Oryctolagus cuniculus: one gene and its partners. The protein of the gene in region 3 interacts with the protein of the main gene of each other region in a biochemical or structural test. Links are inferred from orthologs where the notes say so. Each region holds a gene or a part of one and is shown on either strand. Other genes may lie near its edges. The genes, in order: BTK, HDAC3, GTF2I and USF1.

Region 1 (7,461 bases), on a different chromosome or scaffold from region 3:
ATTTTAGGTACAAGTTGGCCAGAAAGTAAGAAAATAGACAACTTCCACAAATCCATTTATGATTATTTTAATGCTGCTAGTTAATAAACTCAGGAATGGTCTTGAAACTTTCTACTAGGATTAAAAATAAAAGAGAAAAAGACCCTCACCATCAACAAACCCCTTTATGAAGCTACATTTTTGCAGTGCCAGTAGGAGCCACTAGAGGGAGAAAATCATTAAATAACTCTTGCTTGGTTCTGTCCTTAACCTTCCTTGAAGCAGCTGAGGTAGGACAGTGCACCTCAAGGTCACTTGCTAAGGCAAGGTCTGTAAAGGTAGGCCTTGCAACTGGCCAGTTTACTCTACTGCAGAGAAATAAGCGGTTACCGTAGCCCAGGCCTGCAGTGGAAGGTGCGTTCTTGTTTTGTTGAGACACTGGATATTTGAGCCTGGATATGAGTCCTGTAACATACAGAGAGATCATGCTGTTGGTGCAGCATAGAGGATGGGCTGCTTCCCACATACTCACTTAAAGCCTCTCACTTTCAGTATGCATCTCTCTAGCATATTTTAAAATCCCAGGAGATCTTTACAAACCCACATTTTTCTGAAAGTTTCTTCTCTCACAAAAGAGCTTTCAGAGAGAAGATAAGAAAATGCTATTGAAATACACCCCATCCCAACTGAATATATTCATACCTCCCAGCCCAGGCTTAACTCACATCCTGTCTTCTCAATGAAGCCTATCCCATATATGCATGCCAGGTTTTATTATTTCTGCACTACTCAGAAATGATGTTGTCTAACATGTATGTTCTTTGTGGACAAGGATCTTGACTCAGACTTTCCCTGCAATCTCCTTTAGAACAGAGGGAATTGCTGAGTACATAGCAGGAACTCAAAAAAATATAGCTGACTGGTTCATCACCAGTCTCCTCTGTGTCTTTCCTTGGCACTGAGTTTCAGTAAGAAGTCAGCACCAATTTGGGTGTAAGGTTGGCCTTTGACCACCTCTTGACAGGACCCCTACCTGACTATCCAAGGATTTACGTTCACAGCTCATTCAACTGCCCTGTGAGGTATACTCTCCCCCTGGCCATCTTGTCCAGAATTGCTTCTCCTGGCGTTGTCACATCCTTCTTCTTGGCTGCCCCGGTACTCACCTGCAGAGTTATGCTGATGATAGTTAATGAGCTCGGGGATGGTGCTGAAAAGGTGCTTCTCAGCCAGGTAATACTGGCTCTGAGGCGTGGAGCACACAACATAATGGCGTATCACTCCTTGCGGGTCCCTAAAGAAATGGCTGCTTAGTCAGTGCCTTGGGAACAAGGGGCAGCAGGACCCAAGAGGTGAAGGGAGGTGAGTTTTGAGTTCAGGAGCTAGAGGAAGTAGGAGGGGCACACCATTAAGGAGCTGTTGGGAGAGCACCCTGTCCATGAACAGTAGTAGCACTCACCCTGTAGATTTAGCAAACACAGACACGGTGTATTTTCCAGCTTTGCTGGAGTCTCTGACAATAAAACCTCCTTCTTTCCCCTGAAACAACAAAAAAGAAGCTGAACAAAGGAGGAAGTAGCATCCACACCGGCATCCCACTTGCCCGATCCTGAGGCAGAATAGAAACGATTCATGATTTTACTGCCAAGTTCCACGCTTGAGCTGTAGCTGCACTGATTGGGATACCGCAAAGCGAATTGGTACCACAGATGATGGCGCCCTTGACGCCGCCTTGTCTGAAGATGGAGTACAGAGCAAGCCCTCCATCCAGGATCCTCACTCACTGAACAAAGGGAATGCCGTTTGCTCATGGTCATGCACTCACCTCTTGCTTGAGCAGTTGCTCAGCTTGACTCCGAGTCATGTGTTTGGAATACCACCTGTGGGAGGAGAGTTCTTGAGCGGCTCTGGGGCCCCACTGAAGGCAGCTCAGAGGTCCGAGTGCTCTCCAGGGTTGGTCCCTGCCAGGGGTTCAATCATTGCACTCAAACTCTTTCTTGAGTGCCTGACAAATGCACATCACATGTTGTCCCTTTCCCAAACCCAGGTTGGCACTGCAGACTCATGGGAATGGTGCACAGAGGGCAAAGGTAGATAGCAGGGGTTTCAGGGGAGAGTTCAGGGACTGGGGCACTCAAAGTGAGTGTCATCAGGCTGTCAACCCTTTTCTTTGAGTGTTATTCTTCTGGGTTTGAGGGCATGGTGCCCTCCCAGCTCTCATAAGCAGAGGATGTTCAGGGTGAAGGCAAGACATAGGCACTAACTTGGGGTGGTGGCATCATTGGAGCAGTCGGCACTAATTTGAACATGTATCTTGAAATGAAAACAATTTTGTCAAATGGGTAGAAAAGTATATACTTTGTTCCTCCTGGAAGATTGTGTGCTGGGAGCACAAGCATACTCACTCATACATTTCTATGGAGTCTTCTGCTTCGGTGACATAGTTACTAGGAATGTAGCCTTCCTGCCTGTAAAGGAGACAACGTAGCAGATCGTCCAACACTTTCCCATCCTGGAGAAAACAATTCATATGCCCATACTTCTGAGCTCAGAACCAGTTCCAAACAGAAGCCTGTAAGTCACTCTTCTCTCTCGAAGAGGACCCTTTTTACCATGCATGGTTAGGCCAGTGAAGGGTGCAGCTTCTGCACATGTGGTGTTGGTTATCTGTGCACTACAACAGAGGCTCAGAAAAGGGGCAGAGGCCATGTGTAGAACTGCATGCTGGGAAGTGCTTGGAAGGAGAGCATATTCTCTTTGGTGTCAGAAAAATCCTCTCTGATCAGGAGAGTGAGCAGGACAATTATGCTGCAGCATTTGGCATGTGTGTGGAGTGGGCAGGTACAAGGCTCAGGAAGGGCTGGCATGAACTCACCCGTTTTTATCCCGTGCTCGCCACCATGGTAAGTTGCTCTCCTCCAAGATAAAATACTCATCACCCTTGCGCAGTTGTAGGTCATTGGCATTCATCGGCATGTAATCATAAAGGGCTACCACCTTTTTCAGCTCACTTGTGCTGACTGGTGCTGCTGTTGGCTCAGGGGGCAGTGGCTTTTTCAAGATCTGTGCAGTAGTTAGGAGAAAACGTAAGGGAGGTGGCTACATGGTAAGCACTCTCCTAACTCTTCCGCTTACTAGTGATGCCATTCTAACCCAAATCAAACGTAACACAAGATTTATTCTACATTCCTTTAACACCATCTTTGGGCACTAAAGCAGGTGTTCTCAACCTGGGATTCACATGAAGATCACCTGGAGAGAGTTTAACACTCCCGAAGCTCAGGCAATTCCCCACATGCCAGTTGTGTCAAAATCCCTGGGAGTGGGACCAGGCATCAGTGTTCAAAGCTCTCTGGGCAAAACCCACATACAGCCATACTCAGGAAATCTGCTTAGCTCTCAACTGGTAGGTGGAACTAATAACTGACTTAATAATACCTGCCCTACCTCCTTATGATATATGAGAAAGGTCAAGGAAAAAAAAAAACCCAAAACTCAAGTGTGAAAGTAAAATGTTAGCGGTAGAATCTAAGTTTTGGGTATATGAGTGTTCAGGGTTAAATTCTTTCAACTTTATGTTTGAAAATACTTTTCACTTAAAAAGTAGGCTTTGTTTGAAACAGGTGGTTGAATTAAATGGTCGCCAGAAACTATCTAATAGCCCTCTATCTTTCCGTTGAAGAGAAAGTTCTAATTAGAAGGAGAAATCTGTCTTGGCAAGAATACTGATGAACACTGCCTAGTTGCAGTGGAATTCTGGGACTCTGGAGTGTTTCGTTTTCATGGTTTGTTTGTAAGTTTCCATTTAAATACTAGCAGCACCCTATATCCCGGCATACCTGGTCCTCCTCAGGAGTTGGAGGAAGAGGCTTTTTTGTCTTTCTGTGAGAACTCCCTGGTTTTAAGCCTGCAAAACAAGAAGCCAGTGATGACAAGGAATGCATTTTAGGAAAGGGCCCAGGGATAGACTTGCTCAAGGACTGTGCTGGAGTGCACAGTGCCTTTAGGCAAGATAGAAAAAAAAAGGTCCAAATAGATAGAGTCCCCCAGGTCACATGGCTTAGAGAACAGATCACCATCTAAGATTTCCATTCCCAGTAACCGCCTCTGCCAGGTCTATTTGTGCAGTGGCCAAAATGTACTATCTTATGCTTTGTCCCTGGGTTTGGTACAGCCCCTTATTGAGAGTGAGTCAAAGGAGGAAGAAGTTGTATTGATCAGATCTCTTACTTCCATTCCTGTTCTCCAAAATTTGGCAGCCCATAGCATTTTTGGCTGTCTGAGAGCAGCAGAGATACTGCCCATCGATCCAGAAGCAAGGGTGGTATTTCTGAACCAGATCACTGTTGTACCGGATTACTGTAGCAGAAGAGAAGACAGAGACATCATAACTGACACAGGGAATCCACCGTTTGCATGTTTTCCTCTCTGATGTGCTGAGCTCCAAACAACTGCCCCTCCCCAGCCACCCTGAAGAAAAGCAGACCACAGGGCCAGTTGGCTCACATGATGAGAGCCTGTGCCCTGGCACTGGACACTTCCTGTCTGGTTCTTGCTAGCGGTCTGTCATCTCTGACCAACATGATAAGACTATCTGATGGCTCCAGGGCCCAACAGAAATATTATCTATATTTTCCCAGTAGCCATTATCTTTTTTTCTGTAAGGCAGGTGTTGATGATGGTGCTCATTTTCCAGATAAGGGAAACAGTATGCCCAAGACAAACTCTCACTCCAACTTGTATTTTTTTTATTTTACTTTATTTATTTTATTTGCAAGGCAGAGAAACAAACATAACCAGAGACACACAGAGAGACCTCCTATCTGCTGGTTCACTCCCCAAATGCTTGCATCAGCTGTGGCTGGGCCAAGTTGAAGCCAGGAGCCTGGAACTCAACCTATGTGATCTAGGTGTCCACATGAGTGGCAAAGATCAGCTACTTGAATCATCAGTTGCTGCCTCTCCGAGTGCACATAAGCAGAAAGCCTAAATGGAAAGTGGAAACGGAACCCAAACTTGGGCACTTCGTTACGGGATGCTGTGTTCTAAGCTGAGACTTAACCAGTGTTCTGAACGCCTGCCCCTTACTCCAGCTTTAAAAAAAATTTATTTATTTTCATCTACTTGAAAGGCAGATACACACAGAGACAGAGAGAAGGGAGATATCTTACATCCATTGGTTCACTTCCCGAATGCCTGCAAACAGCCAGGGCCAGGCCAGGCCAATGCCAGAAGCCCAAAACTTCATCTGAGTCTCCTATGTGGATGGCAGGGGCCCAAGAACTCGGGACCATCCTATTCTGCCTCCCAGAATGCATTAGCTGGAAGCTGGACCAGAAAAGCACAGAGTAGCCAGAACACAAACGGGGCTTCCAATATGTGATGCAGGTGCTCCAAGTGGCAGCTTAACTTGATGCACCACTATGCCTGCTCCTACCCCCTACTTTTAACATAGCAATTTCCCAGTTCCCTGAGTGATCTTTTAGGAACATTTGCCTTAGTGAGAACTTCTGTATTGGGCTGTCTATATTCATAGAACAGTCAATAGAGCTGAGCCCAGGGGGAGAAATGAAAATGATTCTGTCCAGTCTTTCTAGGATTCCTGAGCTGGGCTGAGCCCATTGCCAAAGATAAAGGCAGCAGCTCCATTTCCCTCACAGAGCCATGAGGCTCAAAAGAGCTCCCAGAAGCCAAAGTATTTTGCAAAGAGTAGATTGCAGCTAGGATGAATTAGTACCACTGTTACTAATACTATGGCATCTTGGGGCTGGCACTGTGGCACTTGGGCCCTGCCTTGGTGCTGGCATCCCATACGGGCACCGGTTCAAGTCCTGGTTGCTCCTCTTCTGATCCATCTCTCTGCTTGTAGCCTGGGAAAGCAGTGGAAGATGGCCCAAGTGTATGGGTCCCTGAACCTGTGTGGAAGACCTGGAAGAATCTCCTGGCTCCTGGCTTTGGAAGCTCTGGCTGTTGCGGCCATTTGGGGAGTGAACCAGTGGATGGAAGACTTTTCTCTCTGTGTCTCCCTCTCTCTGTAACTCTATCTCTCAAGAAAATAAGTAAAATATTAAAAAAAATACTGTGGCATCTTGAGAATCTTATCAGGAAGTGAATGAGAAAAGTCATCCAGAGCTCATGGTGTCAGATACTAGGAGAAGGGGCCAGCATTGTGGCATAGCGGGTAATGCTACTGCCTGTGACACCAGCATCCCAAATGGGCAGAAGTTCGAGTTCTGGCTACTTCTGATCCAGCTCCCTGCTAATGTGCCTGGGAAAGCAGCAGAAGATGGCCCAAGTGCTTGGGCCCGTACACCCACGTGGGAGACTTTGATGAAGCTCCTGGCTCCTGGCTTCTGCCTGGCCCAGCCCCAGTCATTGTGGCCATCTGGGGAGTGAACCAGTGGATAGAAGATTCCTCTCTCTCTCTCTCTCTCTCTCTGTGTGTGTGTGTGTCTCTTTCAGTAACACTGGATTTCAAAATAAATTTTACAATCTTAAAAAGATACTGGGAGAAGCAAAGACGATGGAAACGACTGACTGTAGTGGGCACCAGGGCAAGAACAGGCACATTTGCGTACATTTGCATGTCAGCAGTTATTGCAAAGAATCACACATAACTTAACAAAAAAGACAAAAACCAAAAACTTTCCACTGTAGAAAACAGCTCAAGTCCTTCTCTCCAGTAGATAATTAGACGTGAGCAACTGGGGAGGGGCCCACAAGCCTCAGCTCCAGGGGTCGACCCAGGGACCCTGCTCTCTGCTGGGCTCCACTCAAGACAGCTCATGTTGCGGTTTCTCCTGTTAAAGTGTGCGAGCTGAGCCCAGGTGCAGCTGTGATAGTCACCAGGCCCTCAGATTCGGAGCCCTGGGCCAAACCCCCTGCCGCTCTCACCTAGAATGCCGCCCAGCCTGCCCTGCTGGGCGGACTCACTCTTCGTGTGTCTGTGTCTGTGTCTGTGTGGCATTTACCCTCCACATGTGCAGACAGCCCAGAGGTATGCCACTCCCAGCTGTCAATCACATGTCAATCATGAGCCACAGAGCCCTGTTATCAGCAGTTAAAACCCCTCACACTGTAGGGATAAGGCCCCAATGCAGAGAAGAGTGCCACGTGTTCTCTCCACTGGCTTGCTGGTCATACTCCACTCACGTAAGATTGTTGGGGAAGGACTAGAAACTTCTGGTGGTCAGGTACAGTTTGTACTAAGTGAACAAAAGTGCTGTCTTTAAAAACTATTTGGGGGCCGGACTGTGGTGCAGTAGGTTAAGCCTCTGCCTGCAGTGCCAGCATCCCATATAGGTGCCAGTTCTAGTCCAGGCTATTCCTCTCCCGATCCAGCTCTCTGCTATGTCCTGGAAAGGCAACAGAAGATGGCCCGCGCACTTGGGCCCCTGAACCCGCGTGGGAGACCAGGAAGAAGCTCCTGGCACCTGGCTTCAGATTTGTGCAGTTCTGGCTGCTATGGCCAATTGGGGAGTG
Region 2 (7,461 bases), on a different chromosome or scaffold from region 3:
CTCCCTGAAACCCTCACTGCCTCGGCTGTAGCTTGGCTGCTCCTAGCTCACAGCCCCATCTCTGCCAGGCTCTCCCACCCTTGTGCTCAGCTTCTTGGAGCTGCTGACCTGGCGTGAGTTCTGATTCTCGATGCGGGTGCTGACATCTGGATGCAGCGTGAAGTCCGGGGCAAAGTACTCGAAGTATTCTTGGGGAGAAGGAATTAGAAGTAGGGCTTGGACCCAACAGGCAGGTCCCAAGCCTTCCCAATTGCTTGTCTTCCCGCTCAGGCCCCTTAGAAAACAGCTGCCCAGTGCCTTCCCTCCTCTAAGCTCAGGGGTTTAGTCTTCAGAGCTCTGAGCATAGGAACTTGCCCATTTGCCCTCACACTAGGCCTGGGGTCTGGGGAGGACGGCCTTCAGGGGAAGTGTCCAGGGGTAGGCCTTACCACTGTAGGGGAGCTCTTCACTAATGGCCTCTTCAACCAGTAGTGATGTCTCATACGTCCTGAAACCAAGCAGCAAAGCAGGCTAGACTGACCAGTAGGTTGAAGGGCCCTCCTAGCTTACGACGGACTACGGGGAACGAAGGAAATCAGGAAGGGCACTCACCAGCAGCGGGCAACGTTTCGGACAGTATAGCCGCCACCACCCAGCACCAGCAGAGGGATATTGAAGCTCTTGACATATTCAACACATTCTCTGTCAAAAGGAACCAGAGAAACGGGTGGAGGAAGTTACCAAGAGCCAAGGCATACTCCTCTAGGTACTGTCCGCAAAGAGGCACAAGGTATGTACAACGTTCCATATCATGATCTGGGGAGTGCAACTCCCCAGGTTACATCCTCAAGATCTGTAATTTTTTTTAACATAAAAATTTGAAAATAAAGTAGACCTCCACCTTTGTCCTGTTCAACACCCTCTCTGGCAAACCACCTGTTAATCAACTAGTCTCCTCAGTGTACCAGCAAGTTCACAACAAAACTCAAGGGGCAAGTGTTTGGCCCAGTGGTTACGATGCCTGCATCCCACACTGGAATGCATGGATTCAGTTTCTAGCTCCGGCTCCTGGTTACAGCTTCCTGCCAAGGCAGAGCCTGGAAGGCAGCAAGTGATGACTCAAGTACTTGGGCCCCTGACACACACATGGGAGACTTGGATTGAGTTCTCAGCTCCAGCTTCAGCCTGCCTCATCCTGACCATTGTGGGCATCTGGGGAGTGAACCAGACATGGGAGGTGTCTCTCTTTCTCTCTCTAACAAACTTTTAAAACGAAACTCATGTCGCTGCTTCTCACAGTCACCTCCTCAACCTTAGTCCAGGTAGCATTTACCCTGCCTAGCCAATGCCAGTGGCTTCCTAAGGGATCTTCCCACCACCACTGCTGTCCCCACTCCCACCCCACACCTTTCTCCACTAAGCAGTCACTTGAAAACACAAGTTAGGTCACATTACTTCCCTGCATGAAATCCTTCATCCCATCATCTTTGGAGTATAATTCAAACTCCTTTCAAAGGTCTAAAGGCACCACACACTGTCACCGCAGCCCACTCCCTGGGCCTCACTGCTTTTATTTCTTCTCCTCCACTACCCGAGCTCTTCCCTGCCTCAGAACCTTCCGTGGGCCCTCTTACTGCCAGGACAGGCTTCTCTGATAACTTTTTTTTTTTTTTTTTGGACAGGCAGAGTGGACAGTGAGAGAGAGAGACAGAGAGAAAGGTCTTCCTTTGCCGCTGGTTCACCCTCCAATGGCCGCCGCAGCCAGCGCAGCGTGCTGATCCAACGGCAGGAGCCAGGTACTTATCCTGGTCTCCCATGGGTACAGGGCCCAAACACTTGGGCCATCCTCCACTGCACTCCCGGGCCATAGCAGAGAGCTGGCCTGGAAGAGGAGCAACCGGGACAGAATCCAGCGCCCCGACTAGGACTAGAACCTGGTGTGCCGGCGCCGCTAGGCGGAGGATTAGCCTAGTGAGCCACGGCGCCGGCCTCTGATAACTTTTTAACTTGGGCTTTCTTGGCCTCCAGGTATCAGCTCAAATTTCAACCCTTCAGAAAACCCTTTCCAAATCATTGCTATCTGAAGTCATAGGTTTCCCATTGTCACCCTACGTCACATGGTAAACCCATCCTTCATGGGATTTATAATAATCTAGTAATTATATTTGTGTTTCTTTTTTGTGTGTGTTTCCTATGCTATTCTATAGACTCCACGGGCGTTTCCTCATTCCATTCCCATCACTGGTACAATGCCTGGAACGTAACAGGTGCTTAATGAAAACCTCTTGTGAATGAATGACCATCAAAGGAACCCTGTTTAGTGTGATATTTCTAGTTTAAAAGTAGCTATTTTTCATTCCCAAGAAGTGGTGAGGCTTATTCCCAACCACTTCCACTCCATGTGGCCCCAAAGCCACTTGAAAACCTGGGAGGGGGAAGGAGGGCAAGTCTCACCCATGTCCTCGGATGCTCAGGTTGAAGCAGCCCAGTCGATCACAGCCCAGGGAGTCAGCTCCACACTGCAAAACCAAAACCCCGGGTAGCTGCCGTCGGATCACCGGCCAGAGCATCACGGTGTCCTGCACTCCCCTCCCGCCACCCACCGGGGGACACGCCTCTTCCCCGCTCTCTTTCCTCAAGCCCAGGAGAGCCCTCCTGAGGAGGCCTGGCAGCATTACCTGCAGCACAATGCACGTGGGCTGGTAGAAGTCCACCACCTGGTTGATAACTGGCTGGAAAAGGTGCTTGTAACCTGGGAGAGGGCCAAAGATGGGCACCTGGCACCCCAAGGGGATGGGGAGACAGGGAACAAAAGGAAAAGGGGATTGAGAGAGCATGTAGCCCGGGAAAGGGGCAACCCAAAGTCTCAGACCACTGGATCCACACCCCCGAAGGGGGTCCCAGACCGCGATGAGTGGCTGATAAAAGCTGGTGACCCTCTTCCCAGAAAAATGCACATACACACAGTATGCCGCATAGTCTCTAGGGGTTCACAGCCCTCCTGAAGGCCATTCACCCACCTGGCCCAACAGTAGCGAATACCAGGCAAAAGCCGTCACTTAAGGAGAGAAGAAGGGCAGAACCAGCAGGGAGAAGACGCCGACACTTACTCTGATCGTCAATGCCATCCCGCAGGGGCACGTTCAGACAGTAGTAGCGGCCACTCTCTGCTCCCACTTCATACATGTCACCTATAGGGAAGTGCCAGGGGTAGCCGTGCCCACAAAGCACCCACAGTCAGCGGCACCACCTACATCTCCCTCCACCAGCCTGCACCCATTCAACAAATATTCTGCTGAGGGCCTACCATGAGCCAAGCTGTGTAGCAGGCACTGGAGATAGAAGACCTAGCAGTGAACTACACTAATGACATTAACACCTGCCAAGCTCGTATTTACCCTCGGGGGAGGGGCCGCATGAGGAGGAGGAGACAGTAAAGGAAACGACACGAAACACCACGGTAATTACAAGCAGCAGTGAGTGCTCTGGGAAAGAAACGGGGTACGGTGACAGAGAGGGGAGCAGGAGGTGATCTCTGTGACGCCGGGACATCTGAGCTGGCACAGGAAGGCCAAGCAGGCAGTGACAGCAGCGGCCCTGTTCCCATACCTGTGCCAGGAAAGAAGTAGTTTCCATATTTGTGGAAGGACACCGTCATGACCCGGTCGGTGAGGTAGAAGGCCTCCTGCACGCCGTCACCGTGGTGGATGTCAATGTCAATGTAGAGCACCCGGGGGTGGTACCTGGGGTGAGGGCAAAGCCAGGCTCTGGGGTAGGGGCGAATCCCCAAACCCACTCCACCTAAACACGGGACAGGGAATTTTGAAGACTCTACTTCTGCCCAAGCCCCCTGAAGCCCAATCCCACCAGGAGGCAGGGACAGGAAACAGATGTGCAGAGATGGCTCAAACGCGAGCAGGCAGCAGTGAGTCTGCAGCAGAGCAAGGTAACAGGCAGCTTGAACTTGGGAGAAGTGAGCTGGGCAGGAGGAAGTCAGGGCCAGGGTGGAGTGTGAGGGACCTCCCTTGCCAAGAGTCTCCCCCGGCTACTTACTTGAGCAGCTCCAAGATGCCAATTACAATGTCATTAACGTAGCAGAAGCCAGAGGCCTATGGCAAGACACTGGTCTTAGGGAGATGGGCGACTCTCCCACCCAGCTGCCTCCCACTGCCATCCCAACCACCTATCCCAGGGGGCTACCGCCTCCCCCTCACCGCCTCCCTTACCTCAAACTTCTTGGCATGGTGCAGACCACCAGCCCAGTTAATGGCAATATCACAGATCTGAAAGACAACCATGCAACTCACAGCCCTCCTCCTCCCTCTGCCCAAAGCTGGGAGCACAGGATCAGGCTGATGGCCCTGAGTCAGAGCCCCACAGGAAAGTGGGAGAGGACTTGGGGGCCACGTCACCTTGTTGTTCAGCTGAGTTGCTCCTTGCAGAGACGCACCAGTGTAGCGGGAGCAGAACTCAAAGAGCCCGGGGAACACAGGGCTGTGGGCAAGAGAAGCTGCTGGAACGCCTTTGCCTCTGTGCAGGACCCCTCTTCTCCACCCTCCTCACCCACACGCCCCCAGTCCCCATTTGTCAGCAATGCCAACTGGGATAGCTGCAAATTCATTCAGTAAATACTGTGCATCAAAATGTGGACCAAGCCCTGTGCAACGCACTGAATGGTAGGTAAAGGAGCAATTAACTCTGTCAGGAAGTTGGCACCCCAGCTGGGGACAGAAGCAAACAGCTTCGAGGTTCTTGAGTATACAGGAAAAAAGAAACACACTGAGAGCACGTGAGGTCTGCTTTCCTTAAAAGAATCTTCCATGGGTATCACCCTTTAACATAACGTTTAATAGTATCCTTTGCAGTCACACATTACAAAAAGTGATATGTATTCTTATATGCAAGGACTAGGAATAATGAGACAACCCACAGAGAGCCGTCAGCTCAGTGTGCGGCACCTGGTAAGCCTGTAATAAATGCTTGCCATAAGTACTGTCATCTTCATTCTTTATAAAAAGGAGAGGCTTAAAGCCAGACACAAAAGGCTACATACTGTATGACTTGATTTATATATAGCATTCTGCAAAAGGCAAAACATAAGAACAAAACATCAGATCCAGGGGCCAGCATTGTGGCATAGTGGGTAAAGCTGCCACCTGCGATGCCAGCATCCCATGTGGGCAACGGTTTGAGTCCTGACTGTTTCACTTCCAATCCAGCTCTCTGCTAATGCACCTGGGAGAGCAGTGGAAGAAGGCCCAGGTGCTTGGGCCCCTGCACCCATATGGGAACCCAGAAGAAGCTCCTGGCTCCTGGCTTTGGTTTGGCCTAGTCCTGAGAGATTTACAGAGACAGATCTTTCATCCACTGGTTCACCCCACAAATGGCCACAACAGCCAGGGCTGGGTCAGGCCAAAGGCAGGAGCCGGGAACTTCATATGGGTCTCTCACATGGGTACAGGTGCCCATGGACATGGGACATCTGCTGCTGCTTTTCCAGGTGCATTAACAGGCAGCTGGATCAGAAGAGGAGCAGCCAGGGCTCGAACTCACATCCACACAGGATGCCAACACCGGTATCACAGACAGGGACTTAACCTGCTATGCCACATTGCCAGCCCTCTAAACCTGACTTTTAATAAAAAGGAAAAGCATGAGGCTGATGTGGCACAGCAAGCTGAGCCACCACCTGTGACACCAGCATCCCACATCAGAATGCCAGTTTGAGTCCTGGCTGCTCTGCTTCTAATCCAGCTCCCTGCTGATGTGCCTGGGAAAGCAGCAGCAGATGGCCCTAGTACCTGGGCCTCTGCCACCCGCGTGGGAGACCTGGATGGAGTTGTAGGCTCCTGGCTTCAGACTGGCCCAGCCCAAGCCATTTAGGGAGTAAGCCAGCAGATGGAAGATCTCTTTCTTCCTCTCTCTCTCTCTCTCTTTCTCCCCTCCCCCTTCAAATAAATAATATATATATATATATACACACACATATTTAAATAAAAGGAAGAGATTAAAAAGTCCCTAGTTCGAAAGTTCCTAGTGCGAAAAATGGAAATATAGTGAATTTTATAGTTTCTCAAAGGGTTTGGAAGAATTAGTGATTTGTACCTAGAAAACAAAGCACATGGGGAAAAATGCAATTAGTAGCTCCAGGAAAAACAAAAGTCATTCAAGAAAACAGATTAAATCGCACTTTGAAAGGGTACTGTAAAAACTCATGGGAAATGGGGGCAGGCATGTGAGACAGCCATTAAGAAACCACTTGGGATACCCTCATCCCTTATCAGCCTGCCTGTGCATGAGTCCCAGCTCCGCCCCCAATTCTACCTTCCTGCTAATGTACACCTGAGAAACAACAGGTGACAGCTCAAGTACCTGGGGCCTTGCCACCCATGAGGGAAGCCTGACAGAGTTCTGGGCTCCTGGCTTCAGCCCCGCCCAGCCCTGGGTGCTGAGAATATTTGGGAAGTGAACCAGCAGATAAGGGCTTTTTCTCTGCCCTTCACATAAAAGGGATTCTGTTTAAAATTAAAATTTTTTAAAGTCGTAGAAGGTAAGTTTATTTTGGTTCAAAAACTTTTTGAGGGCTGGTGCTGTGGTGCATTGTGTTAAGCCACTGTCTGTAGCACCAGCATCCTATATGGGTGCCAGTTCAAGTTTCAGCTGTCCCACTTCTTATCCAGCTCTCTGCTAATGTGCCTTGGAAAGCAGTGGAAGATGGCCCAGGTGCTTTGGCCCCTGCATCCATGAGGGAGACCTAGACACAGTTCCAGGCTCCTGGCTTTGGCCTGATCCAGCCCCCATTTTTTTTTTTTTTTTTTTTTTTTTACTTATTTATTTGACAGGTAGAGTTATAGACAGTGAGAGAAAAAGAGACAGAGAGAAAGGTCTTCCTTGTGTTGGTTCATTCCCCAAATGGCCAAAACAGCCAGAGCTACGCCAATCCGAAGCCAGGAGCCAGGTGCTTCCTCCTGGTCTCCCATGCAGGTGCAGGGCCCAAACACTTGGGTCATCCTCCACTGCCCTCCTGGGCCACAGCAGAGAGCTGGACTGGAAGAGGAGCAACCAGGACAGAACCAGTGCCCATACGGGATGCCGGCACTGCAGGCAGAGGATTAACCTACTGCGCTACAGCACCGACCCAAGCAGCCCCCACTTTTGTGGCCATTTGGGGAGTGAACCAGCAGAAGGAAGATTCTCTCTCTGTGTGTGTTTCTGTCTCTTATCCTTCCTCTGTAATTCTGACTTATAAATAAATATTTTTAAAAAGACTTTTTGAAATCCATGGATTATTCAAAAAGCTCATGGAAAATAAGAATTATGGAAAAACTATGCACAGATTTCAGAAATGTTTATAGCAAAATAAGCTTATCTTGGGGCTGGCACCATGGCACAGTAGGTTAATCCTCCACCTGAGGCGCCGGCATCCCATATGGGCGCCGGTTCTGGTCCCAGCTGCTCCTCTTCCAATCCAGCTCTCTGCTG
Region 3 (7,461 bases):
CCGGCGCCTCTGAGGGGAAAGGATGGGCGCGGTGCACACCTCTCTCCTCTCAGTGGGGAAACAGCTTCCAACCCACAAGGTCACGGCGGGAGACTATCGCCCACTCAAGATCGAGGCTGCAAATCCTCCTACACACGGGAAATGGAGGGTGCAGCGTGCCATGCTGACGGAGACGGGAGGAAACACCGACCCCACGGCTGGCCGAGAGCGGGTGGTTCTGCATCAAGTACCTCAGCACTAAACCTGGGCACGGGACCCCACGGGTCAGCGGGAGGGGGGAGGAGGAAGGAGACGGCGGGGTGGCGCTGCTACTTACCCACTTCTTTTTAAAGGTTATTTATTTTATTTCAAAAGCAGAAAGCAGCCCAGGCTGGGCTAGGCCACAGCCAGGAACCAAGAACTGCACCCGCGTTTTCCACTGGGGAGCAGGGGCTGAAGTGCTTGAGCCCCCATCTGCTGCCCCAGGAACATCAGCAGGAGCTTAACTCGCCCCCCACCCCCACCCCCGGCAACACCGGCCCCGAGGCACTGCCGGCTACACCACCCCTGACCAGCACCAACTAAACCAGCCCTAACCACCGCCATGCAAATCATCTCTAAACGGTGGTCCCTGTAAAGGAGAGAGAGCCAGAGGAGAAGAGAGCAGTACTGCGCCTTGCTCTCTGCACCTGACTGTCCTAGAGGAAGAAGCACTTGGGGATTCTCCTCAGAGCAGCACACAGCCGACTGCGGACAGCACGCTCAAGGGCTCCTCAACTTTTAGCTACAAACACCGAGACTGGGCAGAGATGGCGGCCTCACCTTCCACGGTGACCTCAATTTCAGGGACCTTCGAGTTGCTTCCGGGGCTCCGTGGTCTTTTCGGAGACTGCAAAGCTGGAAGACAAGCACACGGTAGCTTCGCACACTGCCAGGCCACAGCGGGAGAGGGCGCCGCCACCACCCGCGGCCCTCGGCCAGGCCCTCAGAGCAAGCTCAGCACGTGATCCTGCGCGAGCCCTGGCAAAGCTGCAGACGGCAGCACGGGAGGCCGCGGACACGTCATGGTGGACAAGAGAACGCAGCCACTACGTAAACACCATAAAAGGCACAGAGCAGCGCGGCGGGTTAACGCGTCACTTGAGACGCCGCCTCCCGCGCTGGGGTGTGGGCGTGAGTCCCGCCACTCCACTGCCGATCCAGCTCCCTACCAGCACCCCGGGAAGGTAGTGGGGGAAAGCCCAGGTGCTTGGGCCCCTGCCACCCAGGTGGGAGACCCAGATGGAGCTCCAGGCTCCTGACCACTGCGGCCAATTAGGGAGTGAACCCGCAGATGGAAGCTCCCTGTCACTCTGCCTTCCAAACAAATCAATCAATCCCCCGCCCCCCCCCCCCAAAATCCATCTTAAAAACACAAACAAAAACCCAACCAAAAAAAAAAAAACAAAGAAATGGGGATGGCGCTGTGGCATAGCAGGTAAAAGCTGCTGCCTGTGGTGCCGGCATCCCATATGGGCGCTGGTTTGAGACCCGACTGCTCCACTTCCAATCCAGCTCCCTGCTAATATGCCTGGGAAAGCAGCAATGATGCACAAGTGCTTGGGCCCCTGCCCCTACGTCAAAGACCCAGAGGACCTGGCTCCTGGCTTCGGATCGGCCCAGCTCTGGCCATTGTAGCCATCTGGGGAGTGAAGCAGTGGATGAAGGCTCTCTCTCTCTGCCTCTGCCTCTCTGTAACTCTGTCTTTCAAATACATAAATAAAAATATATCTTTAAAAAGAAAAAACAAAAATGAAGCCAAGGCCTCATGAAGGTGTTGGGCAACACTATCTGAGGCCCGCGGGTGCAGAATGCGGCCATGCGTGGGGCACAGGGAGCAGCAGATGCGCCTCTTACCTTTAGTGTTGATCTTACTCGCCATCCCGGGAGGCAGGTAGGAAACCACCAGTTCAGGCCTGCAAGGAAAACATGGCCAGCGGTCAGTGCGGCGCAGGCCTCACGCAGGCGCCCCAGCCCCAGGGACTTCCATTTTTGTGGGCAGGAAACCCACCTCCCCTCCCCTCAACAATCTGATGAGGGATTTTATGAACAGTAAGTGACTCCGTTCATGAGACAGGAAATTCACACCAGTTCAGTTTCTCCAACCATGCAGCCACTGACAGCCAGTCACTGCCAACCATGGCCAGGAGTGAGAGCAGAGAAAGAACAGCATCTGCAACAGCCACCCAAGTGTCTGGGACTCCTCGGAGACGTCCCATCCCAGAGGCCACGCAAGCGCCGCAGAACGGCAGCTGACGCACAAGGCAAGCACAGGCGGGGACTCGCCAGGGTGCAGCTCAGAGCCCGGCCTCTCCTTCCCGCTGGAAAAGCACTCACACAGGCAGGCAATCCGATCATGCCACTTCCAGGGCAAGTCCCACTCACTTTTTCACAACAAACTTGATTTTATTACTCCCACGGACAATCCTTTCAAGTCGCGGAATTCCAAACCAGGTAGGGCTTCGAAAGGGAATTCCTTCCGGCAAGCCTTCTACATACAGGAACTCAGGGTTGGATTCGAACACAGGATACGGGACTTTCACCGCCTCTGTGAGTCCAAGAGCTTGAGCTGAAAGACAACACCACTTATGGAAGATAAAGCTGTACCCACATTCTCTCCATCTGTGCTCGCATTCGCAAGTAAGTTTTGTGCACGCTCCCTGCAACCTAGCAATATCCACTCAACACTAAAGACACTTTTGCTTAGTACAATGTGCAAATCAGAAGAAGAACAAGCCTAAAAGGCAAGCATTCGTTAAGAGGACACTTTAGCACTTTAAATCAAAGGTAGGGCTGCGTTATCAAAGCGCTCTCGGAACACGGGGCAGAATGCAGTAAGGCCATCCCACACAGCAGTGGCCCCGGCCGTCCTGTGCTGCCATCTGGACGCCAAGTTTGCTATGTCAACACAGGAGCTGTGTGGGGTGCATGGGCGTTAGTGACCAGAGGCAGAGTCTTCAAGGCTCCTGATGGAAACACAAAATGTCAATTCCAGGAGTTAAATAATCGGATGGCAACGCCCAAAACCCTGCTGTCACGCCCTGCTGCTTCCTTCCTCTGCCATGACAGATACATCCCACCTGGATCCCACTCCGGACAGCGCTCCCGGAACCGCTGCCCCAGATCCAGGTCGAAACCAGTGGCGACACACGCGTGCCAGGCCAGCGTCGGCCATAGCAGACGTGCAGACCACAGGAGGGGAACTCACCCCATGGCCTCCTCCCCTCCCCCATACCGACCAGACAATCAGAATCCGAGAGGAGCACGGTGGCGTGCTTCGTGTGAGCAGTGAGTTGGGCAGAACCAGGCCAGAACCCACGCAGGTCCTGACCCAAGAGACTCCTCGTGGACGCGGCCTTTATTTACGTGTGGCAGTAGACACGAGCACTACGTCTTACCAAACTTCAAGTTAAAGATCTCTTCCACTTGCTTGCGCAGCTTGGTGATTCTGACGTTCCAGTCCTCCTTGACTGCAAAGCAAAGACAACGCCCGTGAGCACGGCTGCTGTGCGCATGCGCGCGCGCGTGCGACCGCGACCGCGACCGGAGGTCGGGACGCGCACCCTCCTTCAGCCGAACCCTGCAATCAGAAGCTTGTGCGTGTGAACATGACTTCCTGAACTCGCCCTCTACCAGAAGACAGGCATGGAGATGAATGCACGCCTCCCTCGCGGTGTAACCAAAGCAGCGGCACTGAAGCACCGGTTTTCACACGCCCCTCTTGGGAGGCCTGTCAGGCTCCCACGCGGGCTCGGCGAGACCCTGCACTCGGATTTGCTCGCTACACAGCCAGCCCTTGTGTCCTGTGATGCGAAACCGCACGAGCGCATCTCTCAGGAAACACGCGGCAGGCACCAGGGAGCTGAGCGCACCCCCACCCACCCGCTGCTCGGTTTTCCAGCCCATTCCGTGCAAGGCAACCACGACCTTTCCATGTGGCCTTTAGAACGGACTGAAAAGGCCATCAGGAGACACAGGCACGGGCGGCTTGTCGGCGGGCGGAGCTGCGGGTGCCGAGGAGGAGCAGAGTGCACGTCCTGGGGTCGCTGGCAAGGGCGGTGGGGAATGTTCGGGAAATTCTGAGACCCCCGCTGAAGGCGGGCCACCTCGGGAATCCCCTCCTGACATGGCCTGTGCTTGGAAAGGAAGCCTGGCTCCCCTGCAGCCGGGCCCGAGCTGTCAAGTTCCTCTGGATTTCTTTTCTTTTTTAAAAAGACTTAGTGACAGAAAGGGAGACACAGAGAGCCTCCAAGCACTGCCTCACTCCCCTCGCGGCCCCAGCAGCCAGGGAGCTCCACCCAGCCTCCCGCTCGAGTGGCAGGGGCACGAGCACTGGGGCCGTCTTGCGCTGCTTCCCCAGGCGCGCAGCAGGAAGACGGGCCTTGAAGAGCTCTCCAGTGTGGGACGCCGGGGTCCCGAGCGGCAGCTTAACCCACGGTGCACAAGGCCAGAGCACCCTCTGGATTGCAAAGCAGCCCAAAGGCTCCCTCCAGTGTGAACCCAATCTCAGTGACTTCTCACAGAGACACCCAGACACCCCCACTCCAGGGCCACGGGCTCTGCCACCTTGCAGTGCGGTCTCCTGCCCTGCAGCGCCCTCCGCCGCATTTGCTCCTTCAGTGTGGGAAGACAGGAGCCGGGGACCCTCCCCCGTCTCCCCCCTTCAAACTCTGTCACTGGGCTAACCACACCTTTTTCACATGTGACATCCATCCATCCTTCTTTCCCTTCCTCTTTTTCCTTTTCTTTTTCTTTCTTTTAAGGATTTTATTTATTTGAGGGGCTGGCGCTGTGGCGCAGCGGGATAACGCCCTGGCCTGAAGCGCCAGCATCCCATATGGGTGCCGGTTGTAGTCCTGGCTGCTCCACTTCCAATCCAGCTCTCTGCTATGGCCTGGGAAAGCAGTGGAAGATGGCCCAAGTCTTTGGGTCCCTGCACCCGCGTGTGAGACCATATGGGATGCCAGCACTGCAGGTGGAGGATTAACCTACTGCGCCACAGTGCCAGCCCCATCCTTTTTTTTTTTTTTTTTAAACAGATGTATTTATTTCAAAGGCAGAGGTATGGAGAGAAAGAGAGATCTTCCATCCATTGGTTTGCTCCCCAAATGGCCATAATGAGTTCAGTCTAAAGCCAGGAGCCAGGAGCTACTTCCGAGTCTCCCAAGTGGGTGCAGGGGCCAGGTACTTGGGCCATCTTCTGCTGCTTTCCCAAGCACATTAGCAGGGAGCTGGATTGGAAGTGGAGCAGCCGGGACTACAGCCGGTGCCCATATGGAATGCTGGAGTTGCAGCCAGCAGCTTTAGCGGCTATGCTGCAAGACTGGCCCCATGCCACCCATCTTTCACCAACCTGCACCCAGCATGTTTAAGGAGACTTCTCTGACGGCAGTGACAAACACATTTTGCGTGTCATGGAATCGGTGACGAGCTGGCCACTGGCAGGCCATTGCACCACTGTGTCAGAACAAGAGCCACCTCCCATTCCTTCCCAAGGTCTGCTAAGAATGGCAGACACTCAAGCTCTGTTCACAAGACTGGGAACTTGAAGATTCTCCTTGTGTTACAAGCCTTTGACCTATGCTTGAAGACAGCAGATCGAGTACTGCTGAGAACGGCACGACACGGCAGCTGGAATACCGCCGAGGCCTGCACGCTCTTTCAATGACGCAATGACTGTGCTCAGTGTCTGCAGGCACTCGCATTTGTCGCGAGCCTGAACGTGAAGTCTCCCCCAAGGAGGGGGAGGCGGCTCTGGGCAATCGCCACGTCCAGACAGGGCACGGCAAGGCCCTGGGAATACCCGCCTTCTCCACACGGTCCCCTTAGCACAGGACGTGTCCCTTCCAATCTTCATCACCAACACCCTTGTTTTGCCTAAAGCAAAGGCACGCTGGGGGCGAAGCTCTGGGTCAGTTAGACAGGGCTATGACCTTCTCCACTGCGGGCTTCCCCGGCACAGTATTTAGTATTTCCCATGCCGCCCTACGCAAAGATGGCCCTTCACGTCATCACACACAAAGAAACTCCTCGGCACGCTGCCCGGACCCTCACTAGCTGCCCCAGGCGTCCTGAAAGCTGATCCAGCACTCCTGTTTCAGGACACACAACCCTGACCGCACACGGCCCCTCAGTGCTCACGAGAGTGACCGCACACATTTAAGACACTAACAGACACTCAGGATTCACTCTTTCTTTCTTTCTTTTTTTTTTTTTTGACAGGCAGAGTGGACAGTGAGGGGGTTCACCCTCCAATGGCCACTGTGGCCGGCGTACCGCACTGATCCGATGGCAGGAGCCAGGTGCTTCTCCTGGTCTCCCATGCGGGTGCAGGGCCCAAGGACCTGGGCCATCCTCCACTGCACTCCCGGGCCACAGCAGAGAGCTGGCCTGGAAGAGGGGCAACCGGAACAGAATCCGGCGCCCTGACTGGGACTAGAACCCGGTGTGCCGGCGCCGCAGGCGGAGGATTAGCCTAGTGAGCCGCAGCGCCGGCCTCACCTTTTCAAACACTCATTTCCTGAAAACTTCAAACTCCCCACTGCTGGGCCTGGCCCCATGGAGCAGTGGGGTACGCTGGGCTGCAGCACTTCCACCTCTGATCCAGCTCAGCGGGCGGTGGAAGATGGCCCAAGTGCTTGGGCCCCTGCACCCATCTGGAAGACCAGGATGGAACTCCTAATCACAGCTACAGCCTGGCCCAGCCCTGGCTGCTGTGCACATCTGGGGAGTGAGCAATAGAGAGAAGGCCAATCGCCTGGTGTCCCCTTCCCTCCTTGTCACCCAGCCTTTCAAACAAACACACAAACCTTGAAGAAGAAGTTAAAACAGAGGTCTGCAACACAGACTACAGCTACGGCTGTCCAGGCCCTGGCAGCAGAGACCTGCAGATGTACTCGCTCTTTCTGACACTACACAAAGGCAGAGAAGGGCAGGCATGGCCGGGGCACCTGTGTCCTGCACAGAGTGCCCAGTTCAACCCTGGCCCCCTCTCAGTTCCAGCTCCATGTCACCAGCAGGCGACAGCTCAAGTGTTTAGGTCCCTGCCAAGCCGGAGGGAGACCTAGAGTGAGTCGCTGGTTCCTGGTCCACCACGTCCTCTCCTGGCTACTGAGGGCATCTGGAGAGTGAACCAGCAGATGGCAGGTTAAAAAAAAAAGAGAGAGAAAGAGAGAGAGAGGAAAGAAAGAAGGGCTCATCAGAGCTCAAATAAAGAAGTGAAATCATTCACCCACAACTTGGGCTGCGATATTAGCGGACAGGCTGGAGTCATCACACAATCTGTTGCTTTGAGAACAGGGCCCACGTGAGGAGAGCTGACAAGCCCCTTGCCCCTTGTTTGTGGCCTGATGCGGCAGCTAGTAGCCTCCGGTGGCTAACTGGAGTTAGGATGAGCTCCAAGTATCAAATACACACCAGGCTGCTTAAATCAACTAGTGAAAT
Region 4 (8,108 bases), on a different chromosome or scaffold from region 3:
GCGGCGCTCCACTGCGGGGCAAAGTGACTCCGTGAAAACTCACCACAGCCTAGGGTGAAAACTACCTAACCTCCCCTCCCCCAGCCCCGCCCGCCAGATGTCCCTGCTGCCCCCACTCCCACACAACCGCTCCCTGCTTCACACTCAGATCCAGCTCACCTTCGTTGTGCTGAGCCCTGCGTTTCTCATCCCGAGTCGTCCGGGGGGCCTCTGACTTCCTGACAACAGAACCCAGGGTGGCCGGAGTAAGGACGAGGACTAAGATGAGGGGCTGGCACTGTGGTGCAGCGGGTGAAGCTGCCGCTGGCAACTTTGGCATATCTTATCAGAGTGCTGGTTTGATGCCAGGCTACTCTGGCTTCCAATCCAGCTTCATGCTAATGTGCTTGGGCAAACACCCCAAGATGTTGTGGGCCACTACCACCCATATGGGAGACCAAGATGGAGTTCCTGGCTCCTGTCTGACCCAGACCTGGCTATTGTGGCTATTTGGGGAATAAACCAGAAAATGGAAGATATCTATTCTTTCTCTCCCTCTCTCGCTCTGCCTTTCAAATAAATAAGTGAATCTTAAAAAAATTTTTTTAAATAAAACTAAGATTAGAGTTTGGGGTAAGGCATTAAACAAGATTCAGCAAGTGTCAAGATGGCTTATGGGGAGGGTGTTGTGGTACAGCAGGTTAAGCTGCCTCTTGGGACACTCACATCCCTTGTCAGGGTACAGGTTCAAGTCCCAGCTACTCTGCTTCTGATCCAGCGTCCTGCTAATGCACCTGGCATCAGAAGGCAACAAATCATGACCCAAGTACTTGGGTGAAGACCCAGATGGAGTTCCAGGCTCCTGGCTTTGGCCTGGCTCAGCCCTGGCTGATGCAGGAATTTGGGGAGTGATGGAAAGTTGATCTCTCTCTCTCCCTCTCTGTGTCACTCTGCTCCCTCTCACTCTTCCTTTCAATACATAAATAAATCTTTCCAAAAAAAAAAAAAAAACCACCACTCCTGGTGATTGAGAAGAAATGGGATCACTCACGGGGAATACGGGTGGGTCCTAGGGGCGATGGAGCGCTGGCTTCCCCCCTGCAACACTTCCTGTGGTGACATCATCACAAAGAACTGACCTGTGAAGACGCAGGATAAACTGTGTCCGGACAAACCTGGCCACATGACCATGCCCTGAGGCCACGACCCTGGGATCCTCCTCTGAAAAGAACAGGCTTCCTCCTGCTAGGAGGGGGGCCAACTCACTGCCTTGCCCGGGGCTAAGGAATCAGGAAGGGTCAAGAGTGAAGGCCCACTGCCCACCAGCCATGTCCCATGGCCTCTCCTAGCCCCTCCAGCCAGCATCCTCACGCGATATCTCACCAGTGCCAGGAGGGGTTGCCTGCCCCAGTAGTGCCTCTGAGCCCTGGGTAGTAACAACAGCAGCTGTACTCCCCGATGTGGTACCTCCTGCCCCATCTCCCACTGCAGTGCTGGGGAAGTAAGTATAGTGCGTCTCAGCAGCTGTCCCCTCTGTGTCAACCGTATCATCACTGGTGAAAGCACCCTGGATCACGGCCTGGAGAGGAGAGCAAGAGGACAGAGTCCAGTTCCCTTCTTCCTCTCACTGCCCGGAGATCTGGTCACCAGCCCAGCCCAGACTGCAGTACCTGGGTCATGGACTGAGTGGCAGGGTAGCCACTGATGGCGCCGGTACCCTCAGTCTGGCCGTCCAGTTGCCCTTCAGACACCTGGATCACCCTGTACATCACCTAAAAGCGAGAGGAAGAGGGCGGGAGAAGAGAGAGGAGTAAATGCTGGGACTCCCAGGGCACTTCGCAAACTTCTCCATGGGGAAGGCCCCAAAATAACACCCTCGACACAGTCAGCCGCTCTCCCTTCCCTCCCTGTCCCAGGGCTTTAGCATACCCCTGGCTCACACCAGGCTCTACCCCAACTCTCATATCAGCCCTCCCACCATAAGAGTCCGTATTTCCCCCTCATCCTCCAAGCCACATCTTCCCAACACATGTTCCAAACCTCCCTCAACCCCAATCCCAAGTAACACCTGCAGCCACCTGGCTCCTCCCCTTACCTGGCCCCCATTCTCAGTTCGGAAGACGTACTTGACGTTGGGGTCAGGGAAGGTGGCAGCTGACTGGATGCTGGCGATAGCCACACTGGTTGGGTCCTCCCCAGTAGCTACTGCACCTGAAGTAGGAGAGCAAAGGAAAGGTCCCTGAGTTAACTGCCTTTCTCCTTCTGTTCCACTTGCACGACACGTGGAAGGAGGAAGGGCGCTCGGGAGGTGGCCCAGTGGAGGGACAGGTGCCATCATGGCTCTCAGTTCCATTTTTAACACTCACCTTCCTGAATCTGCACTGTCCCCTCTTCCGTTTCAGCTGTTTTCTGCTGCCTGTTTGTGGTGAAAGAGCAAAAGAAAGAATAAGGGAAGAAGGGAGTGAGAAGCTACTGGCCCAGTGGCAAAGAACTCCCAAATCCACTGGCATCCATAACAGATGCTGGGTTACGTGAGAATAACAACTAGTACTTACTATGCATGTAGGCTTCAAGCTAAGCATTTAACATGTCCTGTCTTAGTGAACACTAACAGCACTATAAGGCAGGTGGCACTACCTCCATTCTACAAATGGGAAACCAGATCACACAGCTGGTAGGGGACGGAACTGGACCTGACTCCAGGTCTGTCTGCCCGCACAGCCAGTGCTCTCAGCGTCTGACGCTCTCCCAGGCCAACCATCTCTCACCCCAGACCCTACCTCTGCTTTACTCACCCCTTCATCTCTCTGTGAGGGGGCACATCCGAGGAACTGGTCCTTTTTTTGGAGTCTTCGTATCTCCTGATTCACAGGCCTGAATACTAAGTCCTGGTAGAAATCACGGAGTTTGCAGTGAGTGTTGGACTGAACAGCCTCCCTAGACTTGGGATCAAGGCTCCGTGAACACACAGCCAGGAAAAGAACCCAGTCACCTGCACCTGCAAAGGACAACCAGCTTCCCCCATTCCAATGCTGAGGGCCGGTCTGTTGGAAAACGCAACCCTACAAATCGAGCTCCTCACCCCTTCATTATCACCCTGACTCTTGGTGGAGAAGGGGTCATTATACCGGAAGGCTGAGAAACAACACATTTCTCAAAGGATTATTATTAAAGCTATCATGATCTCCCACAACAGCAGCTTCAAGGAAATTAGGGAGGGCCATGTTGAGACCAGCATTACCAAAACACAAGGCCATGGACAGTCATGCTTCTTCCAGGTTCTCAGCTTCCAGCTGCCTCAATCCAGGGAGGGGACACAGGAACCCACCACCACTGGAAAACGGATGCTAACCACAAAGACCTGGCCCTTGGGCTCCACTCTACTGAAAGGGCTCTTATCTGGGCGCAGGGGGTGCCCAGATTGGTATCATCCCTTAGAGAACCTAACATCCAAGTGCACTAGCTTCAAGCCTTCTTTATTATTATTCATTAAGCCTTCCTGTAGAACAACACAGTTGCTAAAACGTTGCCATGACAACTCCAAATCAACTGAGCCTCACTAAGGAGGGAAAGAAAAAAAAAAAAAAAAGCCCAGGCTTAGGCTTCCGAAGAAGAGACAATGGAGGAGGAACCCATCTAGGAGGTGCCTGCCTTAGGACCCTGACATGCAGCCAGACGACAGAAAAAAACAAAGGGCTAAGCGGGCAGATGCCGAAAAGAAACAGCCGGTACAAAGCAGTAAAATAATCCCAACACGAAAGGGGCAAGATTTCTGTAAATTCTGCATCCGTGAGTTTCTCCTGGCCTTTTCTATCCCAGGAAATATCCTCAGCGGAGAAGCCCTGGAGAGCCCGTGGCCAAGGAAAATGGCAACAACAACAACAACAAAAAGGAACTGAAAGCGAAACTGTCCGAAGGAAGTAATGTTGCAAGGAGATCCCAGCCCCGCAGGAGAAGTAGCCCTGGTGTTTTGGGACCACCCAGGTCTCCATCCTCCAACCTGAGTGGGAAAAGTGCCCCTCCGAGGCTCGTCGCGCCGACTGCAGGAGGAAGCAATGAAAGAGAAGGCAGGGAGTAGGAGGCGCCTCTATCGCCCACAGCTGTCAGCCAAGGGCGGTCTCCGAGGACACCCCGCAGCGGGGTCGCGCTACTTCTTCAACCCCGCGCTGGACATCCGGAAGCATTTCCTGAGCCTTCGGGAGATGGGAGACACGGGAACCGGGATAGGATGTTGCGCTGTGCACGCTCAGGCAAACGAGGGCCCAGCGAGACCCCTGGCCGAGTCTGGACACAAAGCGGGGTGGGGGTGGGGGATGCAGCCTGGAAAGAAACCAGGCCTGAGAACAAGGCGTCTCCCCGAAGGCCCACCGAGCAGCAGGCGCTCACCGAGCTGAGCGCCCGCCAGGCGCGCGCCCCGGAGCCCGCGCCGTGACCCGGCCAGCCCAGCCGCGTTCGCCCCGCGCCGCGGCTGCTTCGCAGAGCAGGCAGGGAAGGGGCGCCGGGAGCTCGGGGGCCCGCAGCCGCAGCCCCGCGGCCGGACAGCGCAGGAGGGCGGGGAGCGGGTTTGGCCCACAAAGCGGGATAGCAAATAAAAGAACCAGGCACGGTCCCCTCCCCCAAAACAAAGGCTTCCTCCCCCAAGAGTTTCCCATCCTGAAAAACGGAAACTAAATCAAAGCGGCCCCGCCTTGCCGACCCATCCAGTCTCCACACTGCCGTGTGGCCCTGCACTCACCGGCCCAGGCCGTCTCAGCCGCCGATTTCCCCCCGACCGTGTTCTCCCTCTCCCGACCCGAGTCTCTCCATAGACAGCTGCTCATGCGCACTGCCGGCCCTGGGCCATGTTGGTGAGGGGCGGAAGTGTCTCTCTCGACCCGCCCCGCCCACTTACAGCCCCTGAGCCGCTCCACTTCCGCTCGCTCCATCTTGCTGAGGGCTGGAGGGATGGGAGCGTGGGGACACGCTCGGAGGGGTACTGCTGGCGAATGTCGCTCGAGGCCTGGCCACTTAGGGCGGGAGCGGGAGAAGGGCGGCTAGCGTGTGCTGCCATCTCTGTGCTTGGCAGAGCTTTTTTGATTCCGGGAAAAGGGAATGGGGCGGCAGGCGGGGATCAAGGAGGGCCGCCAGACGGAGGCGCCATCTTTAACAAGGGCTATTTGGGAGGCCATCTTGGATAAGGGCAATTTTTTTAAGGGTTTCCTACAGGAGATGGAGACATCTCAGGGCATAAATAGATAGATCTGAGCATACCTCCTTTCTGTTAGCGTCGCTAGTCACTCACCCGAGGCTTACATTTTGCGAGAGGATTGATTCCCATTCTTCCTAATAGGTTTGGAGTAGGATGGTATAATGGGAAAAATTAAGAAACCAGGCCATTTAAACCTGGTTCTCAAATCCATCTCTTCTACTTATTACCGCTGGGATCTTACAAGCATTTTTACTTAATTGAGCCTTAGTTTCCTCATCCGTAAGATGGAGCCACCTATGTGTACCTACCTTACAGAATTGCTAAGTGGAATTAATACACAAGACTACCCAGCCCGGTTCCTGGCACATAATGAACATTATGTAAATACAAGTTTCTCTTCCCCATTTCCTGACCACCGCTGACCCCAGCTCTAGTTTTTAGCCTAGTCTCCATGACAACTGAGAAACAGCCCTGAACAAAGTAGGGGAAAAAAAAGTTTGGCCAAATATATGAAAATGTGATACCTATCACCCAAGGTTTTAGTCAGAATAATGAGACTCCACACTGTTTATGTGTAAAAATACAACTTTTATTCTGCAATACCAACCCCTTCTAGAGTGAGACCTGTGCCCTCCACCTGTCTGGAGAAGCAGTCCCAAGAACCTGAGTGAGGCCATCCCCATTTTCTGAAACAGGAGGGCATTATTCCAAAGGAAAAAGGAACGGCCAGAGAGATGTGCACAAGACCTTTCCCCTGTAATATACGGAGAGGCAGATGGAGGGGAAGGGAGGGGTCCAGGCCATCTTTCAAACACTGAGGACTTCAAAGAACTTCCTGGACATACTGCTAATATGGAGCTAAGAGGATCGGGAAGTATCCAAGGATGTAGGGATGGACAACTAGTGTGTGTGTGTGTGTGTGTGTGTGTGAGAAAGGGGGGGGCGGAGGGAGAAGCTCTGAGCTGACCCAGTCCTCACCTCTGTCTTGGGCTTCTATAAAGAAGCCTCCGAGGAGAGCAGGAACTTGTCTGGAATTCCCCCTCCATTCTTCGCTTTGAGAAACTTCTTAAATTTTCTGCCTAACGTTATGTTCCCCTTGGCCAATGACGCTACTCCCTGGGAACAGGATCTTGGTGACTTTTTTGGAAAATCTCCTGAGAGATAAGTAAGTGCTCTAAGTCTGAGACGAGCTCAGGTATACCAGCTGAGAAAGTGCCTCCCACAGTCAGAAACAGAAGCTGGAGGACCAAAGTTCCATAGAGTGGGGCACTACAGCTGCTCAGGCTACAGAAGAGACAGCTAGCCAGGGACCCCAAAGATTCCAGACAATTTCCTGGTCCCTTTGGCCCAATGTTCTGGTCCTAATCACAGTCTCTCACCTTTCTCGTGGTTAGCCTGTGTTTCAAATGCATATGACCGGCGCTGGGGGCACATAAGGAGATCGGGGGGCTGGGGATCTTTGAGGGGCAGACTAAGCCGACTCCGGGATCCAGGCCCTTCTGTGCCTTCAGGTGGGTGTTCCAAGCAGCTAAGGGGCCGAGAAGGATGGGCAGGGATCGTGCTACAGAGGGAGGTTCTGGGAATGAGGCTGTAGTCCCCACCCCCAGTACATGTCTGGGTCCGCCGGACTGCCTGAGCCTCAGTCCTCTGGCGGTCCCGGGCCATGGCCACAGCAGCGTCGAAGGAAAGACTGCCCCCATTCCTCCAAGAGGATCGGGACGCTCGGGACCCCCAAGCCCTTTCCCCAGGAGTCCCATCAAGGCGGCCAGGCCTTGGGCATGGGTTTGCAGGGGCTACATGGATCTTGCTGCACATTGCACTGGGCATCTTGGCAAACTGTGGCTTGGGGGGCACCACGGGCACAGAGTGGACCTGTTGGACCTGAAGCAGGGTGGAAGCCAGGCGCATGCCCACACCGCCTGCTGAACCAAGGGAGCAGGCGCACAGAGCATCACCCTCAGAGCTGGGCTGACCATCAGGCTCCAGCTCCTCTGGCTGGGGTGGCTGGGGGGCTACCTGTTCCGTATCAGAAGACTGAGCATTGCCCTCTTTGGCAGCATCAGCCTGCAAGAACTTCATGCCCGACCCCCCAGAGAGGGCCCCCTCTTCTACACGGTCCCCTCCCGCGCTCTGAGCTCCCTCAGCCACTCCACGCCCACTCTCCCGTTCCTTGCTAAGCTCCCTTTCTCCTCCTTTGGCTGCTGTTGCTGAATTTCTGCCATCTTCGCCATCTCCTTGGTCTTCTCTTGTCTCATGGTTTCCATTCCCCTTCTGTCCTTTGACCTCATCCTCTGTGCCTCCATTGACCTCTTGTTTGTGTACAACTTCCCAGTTCTCCTCAGCAGCCAGGTGTTCCTGGGCCCCGTTCTCTGGATACCTTCCAGTGTCTACCTGAGCCGCCTCTCCTCCCTCAGCCTCTTCTCTCTCAACCTCTTTGTCCTGCTCCTTGTCTATATCCTGTTCTCCTGGTTCCTCTGTACTCTTAGTCTCCTCCACGCTTTCAGCCTCCTGATGTCCTTTGGCCTCTGCCTCTTCCCCACTCCCTTCTTCCAGCCTGACCATCCCCTCTCGGCTTTCCGCAGCCTCCTTTCCTTCCTCACCGGCCTTTCCAACTTCCGTCCCAGCCCCTGGACTCCCTTCAGCCTCTTTCCTGATGTCCCATTTGCTTCCAGGCTCAGCTTCCTTGTCTTCCTCAACTTCCAAAGGTGCCTGCTCTTCCTCAGTCAGTCCTGGAGTCTGTCTTCCACACCCTGCTGCCTCGTCCTGCAGGTTCTCTGTGCTCTCCCAGGAGCGGGGATTAGGCCCCAACAGGGGACTTAGATCATCATAGGCACTCAAGAAAACTTCCTCCCCATTTTCTTCCTCTACTTCAGGCCCAGGGCCCACAGAGTCCAAGGAACAGCAGCTGGGAGCCAGAACATACTGCGCTTCATCCAGAGAC

What was found.
Region 1: the proteins of GTF2I (region 3) and BTK form a complex in vitro, tested with the Homo sapiens proteins (4 studies listed by BioGRID and IntAct, with this or other methods). The link is inferred for Oryctolagus cuniculus from reciprocal best matches to the Homo sapiens genes GTF2I and BTK.
Region 2: the proteins of GTF2I (region 3) and HDAC3 form a complex in vitro, tested with the Homo sapiens proteins (2 studies listed by BioGRID). The link is inferred for Oryctolagus cuniculus from reciprocal best matches to the Homo sapiens genes GTF2I and HDAC3.
Region 4: the proteins of GTF2I (region 3) and USF1 form a complex in vitro, tested with the Homo sapiens proteins (2 studies listed by BioGRID). The link is inferred for Oryctolagus cuniculus from reciprocal best matches to the Homo sapiens genes GTF2I and USF1.

What each region holds. Positions count from the first base shown.
Region 1 is NC_091453.1:91,374,976-91,382,436, reverse strand, and holds part of BTK (tyrosine-protein kinase BTK), read right to left. Parts: intron 4,339-7,461; coding exon 4,210-4,338; intron 3,887-4,209; coding exon 3,819-3,886; intron 3,043-3,818; coding exon 2,855-3,042; intron 2,448-2,854; coding exon 2,385-2,447; intron 1,860-2,384; coding exon 1,805-1,859; intron 1,519-1,804; coding exon 1,439-1,518; intron 1,274-1,438; coding exon 1,146-1,273; intron 445-1,145; coding exon 370-444; intron 1-369. UniProt on the Homo sapiens protein: Non-receptor tyrosine kinase indispensable for B lymphocyte development, differentiation and signaling. Binding of antigen to the B-cell antigen receptor (BCR) triggers signaling that ultimately leads to B-cell activation.
Region 2 is NC_091437.1:29,197,519-29,204,979, forward strand, and holds part of HDAC3 (histone deacetylase 3), read right to left. Parts: intron 4,474-7,461; coding exon 4,392-4,473; intron 4,263-4,391; coding exon 4,206-4,262; intron 4,089-4,205; coding exon 4,033-4,088; intron 3,723-4,032; coding exon 3,589-3,722; intron 3,171-3,588; coding exon 3,090-3,170; intron 2,732-3,089; coding exon 2,658-2,731; intron 2,499-2,657; coding exon 2,434-2,498; intron 682-2,433; coding exon 592-681; intron 488-591; coding exon 429-487; intron 189-428; coding exon 109-188; intron 1-108. UniProt on the Homo sapiens protein: Histone deacetylase that catalyzes the deacetylation of lysine residues on the N-terminal part of the core histones (H2A, H2B, H3 and H4), and some other non-histone substrates.
Region 3 is NC_091450.1:49,717,742-49,725,202, forward strand, and holds part of GTF2I (general transcription factor II-I), read right to left. Parts: intron 3,489-7,461; coding exon 3,417-3,488; intron 2,588-3,416; coding exon 2,404-2,587; intron 1,935-2,403; coding exon 1,876-1,934; intron 877-1,875; coding exon 802-876; intron 1-801. UniProt on the Homo sapiens protein: Interacts with the basal transcription machinery by coordinating the formation of a multiprotein complex at the C-FOS promoter, and linking specific signal responsive activator complexes.
Region 4 is NC_091438.1:37,749,676-37,757,783, reverse strand, and holds the start of USF1 (upstream stimulatory factor 1), read right to left. Parts: upstream 4,861-8,108; 5' UTR 4,715-4,860; intron 4,391-4,714; exon of another isoform or gene 4,366-4,390; intron 4,173-4,365; exon of another isoform or gene 3,980-4,172; intron 2,868-3,979; 5' UTR 2,783-2,867; coding exon 2,775-2,782; intron 2,396-2,774; coding exon 2,346-2,395; intron 2,191-2,345; coding exon 2,075-2,190; intron 1,752-2,074; coding exon 1,650-1,751; intron 1,559-1,649; coding exon 1,363-1,558; intron 1,119-1,362; coding exon 1,031-1,118; intron 219-1,030; coding exon 160-218; intron 12-159; coding exon 1-11. Other genes in the region: ARHGAP30 (rho GTPase-activating protein 30), read right to left, coding at 6,533-8,108.